3 linked regions of the Daphnia pulex genome follow. The protein of the gene in region 1 purifies or fractionates together with the protein of each later gene. This does not show direct contact. Links are inferred from orthologs where the notes say so. Each region holds a gene or a part of one and is shown on either strand. Other genes may lie near its edges.

Region 1 (3,428 bases):
TCCCCATCTTTTTGGATCGTCTTCGAAACGAGATTACCCGGTTAACGACAGTCAAAGCTTTAACAAAAATTGCTTCGTCTCCGTTACACATCAATATAAGCCCATTGTTGCCCGAAGCACTTCCAATTCTTGCGGGATTTTTGCGTAAGAACCAGCGGGCACTTAAACTAACTACCCTTGCTTTGCTCGATCGTATCGTCAACAACTACAGGTAATAACTTACTTAAAAGTTTTATGTTTTTCCTCTTGGTTCCCTTTAAGACTTCTCTTTCTTTGTTTTTTTTTTAGCGCTGCGCTAACACCGGAACTACTGCATGCGGTTTTAACCGAAATACCGCCTCTGCTGTCGGAATCTGATTTGCACATCGCGCAGCTAACCCTTCATTTGCTCACTTCTGTTGCGCGGAATCAGCGTTCGGCGTTTCAAACCGGTGGAGTTAATGGAGGCATTTTGTCCGAAGTCTTCAATCTCTTGCGCTCACCTTTGCTTCAAGGTGTGGCTCTGGGATCCCTTCTCGATTTCCTACAGGCTTTGGTCGAGTTTAATGCTCCGGGTTAGTGATTTTTTTTCTCTTAATTTCAACTGTATTACTTAGAAGACAACTTATTAACAATATTAACTGTTCACTTTTACTTTCCATTCAGGATCTGGTCTTGGCTACCGCGATTTGTTGATGTGTCTGATGAATTTGGCGTCAAAACCTGGTCTCCACAAGACTGCCCATCATTCTGTCGCCCAGGCTGTTGCTTCACTGGTTGTGACGCAACCTGTTTCTGAAGCTTTTACTTTGGTACAGAATTTTCTTCAGGAAGCTCAGAGACCTCATTCTGATTGGCAACACATCTTTGCCCTGCTCTGCATGGGAGAAATTGGCAAAAGAATGGATCTTCACCAAGTCCCAGGGTTGGGACAAGCAATCATCGATTCCTTCGGCCCACCAAATGAAGAAGTATTTCTAATCTTTTCTAACGTCAACATCAATCTATATCCGTTTTCTTTAGGTAAAATCTGCAGCTTCGCACGCCCTCGGTTCAGTAGCAGTGGGAAATCTTCCAGCTTTCTTGCCCTTCATTCTTACTCAGATTGAAACTCAATCACGGCGTCAGTATTTGTTGCTCCACTCGTTAAAGGAAGTGATTACTTCGCTGTCACTTGGAACCGAGGCCATTGCACAACTGCGCCCTTTCGTACCCCAAATTTGGGATCTTCTCTTCCGTCACTGCGAGTGTAACGAAGAAGGAACACGCAATGTTGTGGCGGAGTGTTTGGGAAAGCTTACTCTCACAGACCCAGAGGGATTGCTTCCACGACTTCGAGCAGCTCTGAACAGCCCTAGTGCGTTGATGAGAACCACGATCGTCACAGCAGCCAAATTCACAATTTCTGATCAAGTCCAGTCCATTGATCCTCTGCTGAAGCAATGTATGGGCGATTTCCTTCAAACCTTACAGGTAATGATCAATTTCATTGGGGTTGATTAGAACGGATCAGTATTTAATTGATTCTGTAATAGGATGATGACTTGAATGTGCGACGAGTGGCATTAATTGCCTTTAATTCGGCAGCACACAACAAGCCTTCCTTGGTCCGAGACTTACTCGATTCCGTTTTGCCTCAGCTCTATAACGAAACCAAAGTCAGAGTAAGTATTCTAGTGATGGAATCAATTTCTTAAAACTAAAATATGCTAAATAAAAAAAAATTATAACTAATTATAATTTTTAGAAAGAGTTGGTCCGCGAAGTGGAAATGGGTCCCTTTAAGCACACCGTTGACGATGGTCTTGACCTTCGTAAAGCCGCTTTCGAATGCATGTATACCCTTCTGGATTCATGTCTTGATCGATTGGATGTTTTCGAATTTTTGAATCACGTTGAACTGGGATTGAAAGGTTGGTGTTTTGTTTCTTGGAACAAAAACGATGTTACTTACAGCTCACGTTCATTTACAACTTCTTACAGATCACAACGACATCAAAATGCTGACTTATTTAATGGTTGCCCGTCTGGCCACGTTGTGTCCTACTGCCGTTCTTCAACGCCTCGATCGATTAGTCGAACCCCTACGAACTACTTGCACGGCTAGAGTTAAGGCGAATGCAGTCAAACAAGAATATGAAATGCAAAATGAACTTAAGGTGATTGATTTATTACTTTATAGAACCGAATCAAATGAATTGGTAATCAAACGAAATATTTAAAATAGCGATCTGCCATGCGAGCCGTGACTGCATTGCTGATCATTCCTGATTCGGACAAAAATCCACAACTTAACGAGTTCGTTCTGCATATTCGTTCATCACCCGATCTTCAGGTAACTAAATAACAACTGCCAAAAACCAGCACGTACTATTCGCCTAAACTTAAAATTTTTACACTTACCATTTTCAGACTCTTTTCGACTCGATCCAGAAAGATGGCTCCGGACATCATGGAAATGCTGCAGGTGGATCCAGTGATTCGAACATGGATTTAAGTTAAAGTGGTGTATAATTATGTATCTATTATCGAAAAAATCGGATCGGGGAATTGTCACGAATGAAACATTGTTTCGTTCTTTTCTTTGAAATGTCTATGGTGGATGAAAGGGAAGTAGGGGTACATGTATTAACCATTCTTCTTGAACGGATGCGTTGAACATTGTTTAAGTTCAGTTCCACTACGATGCACTTTTCAGCACGGTGTGTATCTTTTTCTGAGAAAAAAAGATCTGTTGCGTTATTTCATCTTTTCCCCCATGTCATTTTAGATATTCAAAATCGAGAAATACAACTTTCCTGCAAAATGTTAATCGTATTTAATGTTCAAAACCTAAATTTGGTGAACATCGTTTATACAAGATAAGAACCACTTACATAGTACAAATGATAAATGTATTTCGCTCACCATGAAAGCTTTTCAACGTTGCTTCACAAATCCAAGAAACCGAGATAACGGTCGTTATGAAAAACTGCGTAATATTAGAAGGGAAAAAAATTGGCGCTGGTAGATTTTTCTACATTTCATACCCGTTCAGGACAGAACACAACTGCTCTTTTCGTTTCCATTACTGCTATCTGCTTTCTCCATTTCCGTTATCAGTCGGTTAAAAATTTCGCAGACAGACTAGAGATGAAAGGAAAAAAAAAAAAATTCTTAATAGAAAGTACAATTTCAAATCTCCAAATGAATATTAATCAGCATACCTCGTGTGACCTAGCAGAAACTTCATAAAATGAGGCTTTCCAAGTGTCGGCAAGCCTTTTGCCCTCTTCTGTGCTGACTACTCTTTCACGGTGAAGGTCTGTTTTATTACCAACAATAACAAGAGGTATTCTATAGTGATGAAAAGAAACTGGTTGTCAGACATAAAATTATTGAGTGATGAAATGCTACCTTAGAGAAACTTACGTGATTTTACCAGTCATATCCATAATCTTTTCTAGCAA
Region 2 (4,036 bases), on another chromosome or scaffold:
GTCACTATCATCTGATGATCTATCGCCATTCATGGCTGCATAATTTATCACTTTCCGAGTTCTTCAAAGAGATATAAAAATAAGTCAGCATACATTTATTCCATGAGTTATCAAGTAGTACCTGGTATTTGGCTTTGCAACTTCCATTTTAAGCACATTGAAAAGTAAGACCTTCAATCAAATTCCAAACAAAGATTACGCCTTGTTTGAAATAGCGGCGAAAATCACTCTCTCTCTTTCGGTTAGTCTTCAAGTGTAGTCTGCTATCACTTAGGAGCCGCCTGGCGGTCAGATTCAGAAGGGGGAGGGTCGGAGGGAGAATAAACGGGAAACGGAGGATGGGCATGGGATACAGGCCTGCCTGAACAGGGTTATAATTTTCTAAAATCTGGTTTATTGAGTTCTAGTTTGCGGCTGGTTTGCGGTTTCCTTTTTTTTAACAAACAACAACATAAAAATAATTATAAACTAAATATATATGTATGTTGGGTTGGTTGAGGATTTATATAAGGATGCCACTTCACTAACTACAAAGTTTTCAAACTAAGAACAAACAATTTCATCTGTATAAGCCAAAGGCTTACATTCACATCTGTATTGATGTCTTCATCCACAGTGGTCTAAGAATAGCACATAAACAAGTAGAAAGCAATCAACAGTCACAGGAAAAATACCGATTTTACATAAACACACAAACAGGCTTACGGTACGTTACATTCGGGAAAAAAGGGTGGGTATACAGAAATACCAATATATACCTACTCTTTAGAGTGGCAATCATGGTCAATCAAATTGTTACCAATCAAAGACAGTTCTTCTCAAACTACAGTATAAACAATTGGAGAAAATAAAGGTGGTTTGAGAAAGACACGATATTTCAAAGACGTGAACAAGAGGGGCCGTTTAAAAAAGAGGGACATTGGCAGGTCAGTACTCTGTACGGCGAAAGTCGTCAAGGAATCACAGCAGATATTGTTTTCATAGTATAAATGAGAGTCAAGGTGGACGAAGATTCAAAGTAAACTAACCGATACAAATACGAATTCAATAACTCACTCATCCATCAGCAATTATCATGTCTTAAAAAACCACATAGTTAATACACTCATCTGAAACGATTCAAGGTGAGAAGAGAGAAAAACTTAATACAGCAAAGCGAAACGAATACGGGAAGAAGCTGAGGGTTGATCACCATCAGTGTAGTTCTTCCTTGGCGTGCAGCACATTTTGGTTGGCTCGATCATTGGCCCATTCAACGAAATCGTCAAAAAGGCTAGGCCAAGCTTCTGTGTCGTCGTAGCGGGAAAGATCATTTCCCACAGCGTCCACTAAGTGTAGAAACATGCACCATGTATCCCTGAAGAAGAGAATTTAAATTTAAATTGCATTGAAATGCCCAACTGTTGGTGATTTGTACCTGGGTATAGCTCGAACAGGTGGAGGAGACTGTTCAAGAAATTCGATCCAACGATCAAGGAGAGGGACGGGTCGATGAGTAAATACAAGCCGCCAAAGTGAAACGGCTACATCAACAGGCAAAGAGCGTTGACCACACTCTACATCCAGAGCGAAGCGAAACGCATAGCGGTAAACGTCACTGAAAACTTCGCTGTCCTCTACTTCTTTTACTAATTGTTCTAAGCTGAACTTGAGACTACGAGGCGAATCTGTTCCTAATAGTCGACATCCCTGGATAAATGATTACACATTAATTTCAATTTTTTAAATAAATTATTTGTTAGTGTTGTTACTTGTAAGAATTCATTCTTGCTGAGCTTGCCCATTTGAGCTGCATCGCACTTCCATGCAAATAAAAGAATACGAAAGTCGTCAGCCGCTAAATCCAAATCAGCACACAGATGAAGTATTCCATCAGTGGTTATGGCATCTTCAATCCTGTCTTCAGTATTTCCACAGTAGCTTTCATAGAAGGCCACTAAATTGTTTTCTGACACTTCCACTGCACTAGTTCCATTCCCCATTCCACCAGTGCTTAATGCACCATTGATGGTATTGTTGTTTGTCTTCTTAATATCACCTGTTTGAGATGTAAAATTTAGTAAGTGTATGGGTGGCTTCATAACAAAGAAATGTTTATTCACCTGAGCTATTACTCCCTCTTCCAACCAGTGGTGGAATGAGCACATAAAAGGGCCTACGCATCTCCCCTTTAGAGTCTCTAGCGTCCAACCCACTTCCATTCACATATGTTTCAGAGCTGATGACCAGGTTAGAGTCCTCTAGCTCTTCCGATTGTGAAGGACGGTATGTATCTGTGTGACCATGAAAAAGGATTGGGTTACACAAAGGTACATTATAAATTAAATTTTCAACTAACCAGAGTCTTCTAGTTTACTTGATGAAAGAGAATAATTTCCAGGAGCAACGGATGATCTGGTATTCGCCTCACTTTTAACACAGGAGCAGCAATTCCCCATGGATGGATTTCACAAACCCGAATCGCGCGCTATAGCCTCACAACTTCAATCCCTTCCCTTCGATTCACTTTTTCTTTTTAAATCGTAACTAGCACATCACCATTGAGCCCTGATCTCGTTTTACGTGAAAATCTCGTAAGATATAAAGCTACCCAATATATAAAGGAGAATCATGTAGAAAATGAAAGGAAAACCCTGGCACACAAAACACTTGTGGGGGGAGGGGGTGACGTTTAGTCCGAAGCACACAGGCATCACAAAGCCTCCTTGCGTCCGAAAAATACACTTTACACTAGATTCAAAATGGCGGACGAAAACGAAACTTCAGTATGTATACAACTCCACATTTTTTAAATTTTAAATTAATAATTCAAGCTTTCATATTGCCACTTTCATTTAGGCCCCTGTAATTACTGTGGAAGAGCCACTTGATTTGATTCGCCTAAGTCTCGATGAAAGAATTTACGTCAAAATGCGAAATGAACGAGAGTTGAGAGGCCGGCTACATGTAAGTCGAGCACATTAAATTGCTTTTTGCTATAAAATTGTGTTCCCAAAATATATTGTATTATTGTTTATGGTCCATAGGCATATGATCAACATTTGAACATGGTGCTAGGTGAGGTAGAAGAAACAGTAACCACTGTTGAAATTGATGAAGAAACTTATGAAGAAGTTTACAGAACAACTAAACGCAACATTCCCATGCTCTTTGTACGTGGAGATGGTGTGATTCTGGTCTCCCCTCCAATGAGGGGTTCAGTTTGACAAATTAACTCAAATTCTTTCATTGTTTTGAAATGTCAAAGGCTGAATACATTGCTTTCTGATTATCTAATTAGACCACATGTGTCACTATCATTTAAGAATTCCCTAACTGTGTTTACAGTTATGATGCATTTAGGCTCTTTAATGACATATGCCTTGCATAAATAAAATATGTTAATTGTGTTAAAAACTTCATACAATAATTGGGTTAAAACTATGATAATATGATGATATGATACTACTTTTTTTTTAGAAAAGGAATGTTAGAGTTAAATATGGAATGAGATTTTAAAAGATAAATAGAACAACGACTGTTCATAGTTTAAAACGTCTAGAATTAAAAATTTATAATAACAAAACAATTAAGAATTTAGACCTATATTTGATTTACACGGAAAAATTTGAAACTTTTTAGTCCAATCCAGACGGCTTTTCAGTAAACCAATGAAATTGCCCGAAACTGTTTTCTTCCAAAAAAACAAATGACAGTCTAGCATTTTAAGTCGTCTGCTCTTAGACACGGCTGCGACACGTGTTGTCCATCGTTAGCGTAAGTTAAAAGCGGTGTTACTTTTACATTTTCATTTTGACAATCGTTTGTGTGCTCAACATGAAGAAACAATCTAAAACCAATAGCAAATTTGTTGGGAAACCTAAAGGTGGACCTATCAAGAAACCAATCCAAAGCCAAACAAAAAAATTAAATGGTAACAATGTCGCCGTTGTTAAAGATCAGAAATGGGCGAAATTGAGCCTCGACGAGTTTATTAACTCATCAGAAAGTGAAGACAACACTTCAAGCATTGACGAAGACTCCACAAAATCAGATG
Region 3 (4,148 bases), about 5.2 Mb from region 1:
CCTAAAAATATTTTAAATGATGCAATAGAGAATCCTAGTAAATATTTTGGAAAAATGTTTTACCTGTTTGGGGGGCAGACCAGCTTAAGAACCTATAAATCCCTTCTTGAAAAACATCAAAGATACCCGGCTTTTCACTTGCAATATCAGATTGAACAGTTTCTACAACACTTGCTGCATAAAATGGGATCACGACAGCTAGGGAAACGCTAGGGAACCAAAAAATAGATTTAAAAATTCTTTAGATATCTGCTAATAATTGTCGTATGACAATTTCAATGTGTTTTTGTGATACCTTTTCAAGAGGATGTGGTGTCCAATTGCTTTCAATGAGCTGTTACGATCAATTTCTCTAAAAAAAAAAGAAAAAAAAAACAAAAACAAGTGAATATTCTGTCAGTCTAAATATAAACACACACTGGCTATTTCAATGAACACAAGAGGACAGCTTACATGGCAACATTTGCCACTTTATATGCTAAATTACTTTGGCCATGGTGTTATCTTGCTCAGTACATCCTCAATGGCTAATGTGAGACCTCTCACAATTAAAGCACTGCCAATTCCTTTCCATAACACAGTCATGCTTTGTCTTTGGTGTAGCCTAATGACTACTGGGACCAAGCTGAAAGGTAGTGTATGGTATTTTCTAGAAAATACATTAACCTACAGATAAGCAGTATTAAAAAATTTACTATCAAATTAACGTAAAGAATTTTTCACCTGACACTGTCTTCGCAGAACTAAAAATGGATGGCATAGTAGATTTTCAGCTGCTAGTCTCATAATACCAAAACTGGGATTTGGGATTCTACTTGCATCAATCATATCATCTTACAAGAAAATAAAAATTATGTAAAGTCATTGCAAAAAAATGTGTGATGATAAAAGTCACTGTTAATACCATATCTATATTTCGGCGACGTAATAGCTTTGTTTTCATGTTGTATCCTACCATCAGTTACTGCAGAAGCAGCAGAATCAGCTTTTTTTATCCAAAAGGGAGAATTTTCTAAACTGTAATAGAACGAGTAGTCCTCAGTTCCAGCCATACTAACCTGTACACTTGATTTGATATTAATGTTTATGAATTCCAAGTAAAAAAAAAACAAACTATTTTCGTATTATGGTTAACTTTTTCTTTCGTGATACGCAGCAGACGAATAACTACTAATAATGAGCTGCCATCTGATGATAAACTAAACAACTTTTCCGTTTCTTCGCGAAGGCCAAAGGGGCCAGAGCAGACGAACCCACACTGCGCAATCGTTTTATTAATCTTCAGAATCCTTGTTCTGTGAAACCAATTGTATTCTTATTTAACCCCAGGGTCTTAAGATTCTCGAGTAAATTGATTATTCAAGGAATCTGAAACTTTGTCCTTCATTTACGATACGAAAAACAAGTAAATAACTTAAGGTCTTTTCATTGCTATTGCCAGTAGTCATTGCATGATCGTTTGTACGAAGATCAGTTTTGGTTTTCTCCCGTTGAACTTGGAAATAGGGACTCTGGCTTTTTTTGTAAAATTCCTATGATCCACTTTTTGGACTTTGATTCAGCTGTTCTAATAACTGCACAAAATGTCTCTTAAACCGAAGCGTGTAGACTTTACCACAACTTGGGCTGATTTAAAGGAAACAGTTAAAGGTGTTGTAACTCTGGGAAATGTTCCTCATACTATATGGTACAATCGATTCAGTGATGTGTATTCCCTCTGCGTGGCTTACCCAGAACCTTTAGCTGAGAAATTGTACCAAGAAACTAAAAAGTTTTTGGAGGAGCATGTTAAATCTCTTTTCATCCAAGTGAACGGCACCAGTGAAGAACAGCTTCTGACTGTGTATTACACACTTTGGCAGCAATATAGCCAAGGAATGGACTATTTGCACAAACTTTACTCGTAATTTATTCATTTCTTTTCTCTAATAAAACAAGTTAATACATGCTTTTAATTCAAATACAGATACCTTAATACCCAACACATCAAGAAACAAAAAGCATCTGATGCCGAGCTTCTTTATGGGACATTGTCTTATGAATCACCTGAACAAATGAAAGAAATCGGAGAATTGGGTAATCACTATTTGTAATTTTTTTGGTGTACTGAATCCTTATCGAAACTTGCTTGCTAGGTTTGGATTTGTGGAAGAAGTATATGATAGAGCCATTGAAAGCCGACTTGCTGAGATTACTTTTGGGAGGCATACATTGTGACCGAACTGGACAATCTTTGTATAATGAAAAGTCATCAACAATTCAGGGTGTGATTCAGTCGTTTGTTTCAGTCGAGGAATACAAGAAGAAGAACACCCTCGAACTTTATGAGGCTGTTTTTGAAGGGCCATTTCTTGAAGCGACCGGTGAATACTACAAGTAAGAAATAATTAAAATGTTAAAAATTTGCATATTACAGTTGTTTGGTCAAATTTAGGCAAGAAGCTAGTCGCTTGTTACAGGAATGCACAATTTCCTTGTATATGGAAAAAGTTTTGCAACGTCGGGACGAAGAAGATTTACGTAGTCGGAAATTCCTGCACCCAAGCTCTTACAGTAAAGTTCGAACTGAATGCGAAAAACGAATGGTAGCAGATCACTTGGCGGCTATCCACAACGAGTGCCCGACAATGGTTCAACAAGAACTCCAACAAGATCTTCGAAATGCGTACGCGTTGTTGAAGGTGAGAGCTTATCTTATTGCCTCGTAGTATAAATTTTAATTGTTTTCTAAAATTTGTTCAGTCGATTCCGGGAGGTTTGACTGTTCTGGTGTCGCACGTCATGGAACACATCAAACAACAAGGATTGCGAACAGTGACTAACCTGTCAGGAGACAACATTGCTGCCCAGTTTGTAGAGGGCATGCTTAGTGTCCACTCCAAGTACAAGGAGATCACCAACACTGTTTTCAGTAATGATCAGCTATTTAGCAGCGCTCTAGATATGGCCTGTGCTGCAGTCGTCAACCATCGCTTCAATACTAAACAAAATTGTAGGTCTCCAGAACTACTTGCCAAGTATTGTGATACTCTCTTGAAGAAGTCAACAAAAGGCGGTAGTGACACCGAAGTTGACGATAAGTTAACACAGTGCATTACTGTATTCAAGTACATCGACGACAAGGATGTTTATCAAGCTTTTTACTCACGGAAGTTGGCACATCGATTGATTTCACAACAGAGTCAAAGTATGGACGCTGAAGAGGCAATGATCAACCGATTGAAACAGGCATGCGGATATGAGTTTACCAACAAACTTCATCGAATGTTCACGGACATGTCCGTCTCATCAGACCTGAACAACAAGTTTAATCTGCTGAACAAAGATCGGATGATTGAATTAGGTCTCAACTTCTCCATCTATGTCTTGCAAACCGGTGCGTGGCCTAGACAAGTCTGCCCTACCGATTTCGCCGTACCCCAAGAGTTGGAAAAATCGGTCCAAGAATTTGAAGATTTCTATCGTCTACAGTTTAACGGCCGGAAGCTTGCATGGCTACATCACTTGAGTTACGGAGAGCTGAAACTGAACTACTTGAAAAAGCGTTACTTCATCACCATGGGAACCTTCCAAATGGCAATGCTTCTTGTCTTTCAAAAGACCAATTCCGTGACTTGTGGAGAACTCATGGAAGCCACGAAGCTTAACTCGGATCAATTCCAAAAGGTCCTTCAGAGCTTAGTCGACTCAAAGCTTTTGGCAGTAACTAGTGACACTGTCGAAGTTTTCCAACCATCTACAGTCATTTCCCTCAATATGGATTATAGTAACAAACGAACCAAGTTTCGTATTAACAACACTATCCAAAAGGAGACTGTCCAAGAAACCGAGACGACGCATTCTTCTGTAAACGAAGACAGGAAAATGTACCTTCAGGTAAGAATTATACGAATATTTTAGCGTAATGCGTTAGAAATCCGAAAACAAACTAAAGTTTTTTTTTTTTTTTCATTTGGCTTTCCAAGGCTACAATCGTTCGAATCATGAAATCTAGGAAGATTCTTCGCCACATGGTCTTAATTCAGGAGGTGTTGAGCCAGTCCCAACCCCGATTTGCTCCTCCCATTTGCATGATAAAAAAGTGCATTGAGACATTGATTGACAAGCAGTACCTGGAGCGTACCCCTAATTCAACGGACGAATATAGC

Evidence for each region.
Region 2: the proteins of cullin-associated NEDD8-dissociated protein 1-like (region 1) and DCN1-like protein 3 purify together in Homo sapiens (affinity purification with western blotting; 3 studies listed by BioGRID, with this or other methods). This does not show direct contact. The link is inferred for Daphnia pulex from reciprocal best matches to the Homo sapiens genes CAND1 and DCUN1D3.
Region 3: the proteins of cullin-associated NEDD8-dissociated protein 1-like (region 1) and cullin-2-like purify together in Homo sapiens (affinity purification with western blotting; 7 studies listed by BioGRID and IntAct, with this or other methods). This does not show direct contact. The link is inferred for Daphnia pulex from reciprocal best matches to the Homo sapiens genes CAND1 and CUL2.

The regions. Positions count from the first base shown.
Region 1 is NC_060021.1:5,208,392-5,211,819, reverse strand, and holds the end of cullin-associated NEDD8-dissociated protein 1-like, read left to right. Parts: coding exon 1-211; intron 212-288; coding exon 289-554; intron 555-645; coding exon 646-950; intron 951-1,002; coding exon 1,003-1,452; intron 1,453-1,514; coding exon 1,515-1,643; intron 1,644-1,726; coding exon 1,727-1,892; intron 1,893-1,962; coding exon 1,963-2,138; intron 2,139-2,206; coding exon 2,207-2,314; intron 2,315-2,391; coding exon 2,392-2,481; 3' UTR 2,482-2,785; downstream 2,786-3,428. Other genes in the region: GTP-binding protein Rheb-like, read right to left, coding at 3,013-3,105, 3,186-3,315, 3,391-3,428. UniProt on the Homo sapiens protein: Key assembly factor of SCF (SKP1-CUL1-F-box protein) E3 ubiquitin ligase complexes that promotes the exchange of the substrate-recognition F-box subunit in SCF complexes, thereby playing a key role in the cellular repertoire of SCF complexes.
Region 2 is NC_060026.1:10,627,929-10,631,964, forward strand, and holds DCN1-like protein 3, read right to left. Parts: upstream 2,481-4,036; 5' UTR 2,439-2,480; coding exon 2,339-2,438; intron 2,274-2,338; coding exon 2,103-2,273; intron 2,039-2,102; coding exon 1,752-2,038; intron 1,690-1,751; coding exon 1,418-1,689; intron 1,358-1,417; coding exon 1,195-1,357; 3' UTR 558-1,194; downstream 1-557. Other genes in the region: uncharacterized protein LOC124205018, read right to left, coding at 1-61, 122-147; nucleolar complex protein 2 homolog, read left to right, coding at 2,742-2,765, 2,839-2,946, 3,027-3,195, 3,806-4,036. UniProt on the Homo sapiens protein: Contributes to the neddylation of all cullins by transferring NEDD8 from N-terminally acetylated NEDD8-conjugating E2s enzyme to different cullin C-terminal domain-RBX complexes and may play a role in the cell cycle progression by regulating the SCF ubiquitin E3 ligase complex, after UV damage.
Region 3 is NC_060021.1:10,405,228-10,409,375, reverse strand, and holds the start of cullin-2-like, read left to right. Parts: upstream 1-1,220; 5' UTR 1,221-1,583; coding exon 1,584-1,903; intron 1,904-1,966; coding exon 1,967-2,076; intron 2,077-2,135; coding exon 2,136-2,376; intron 2,377-2,434; coding exon 2,435-2,681; intron 2,682-2,742; coding exon 2,743-3,876; intron 3,877-3,965; coding exon 3,966-4,148. Other genes in the region: solute carrier family 25 member 46-like, read right to left, coding at 1-1, 64-209, 296-352, 488-666, 724-833, 905-1,052.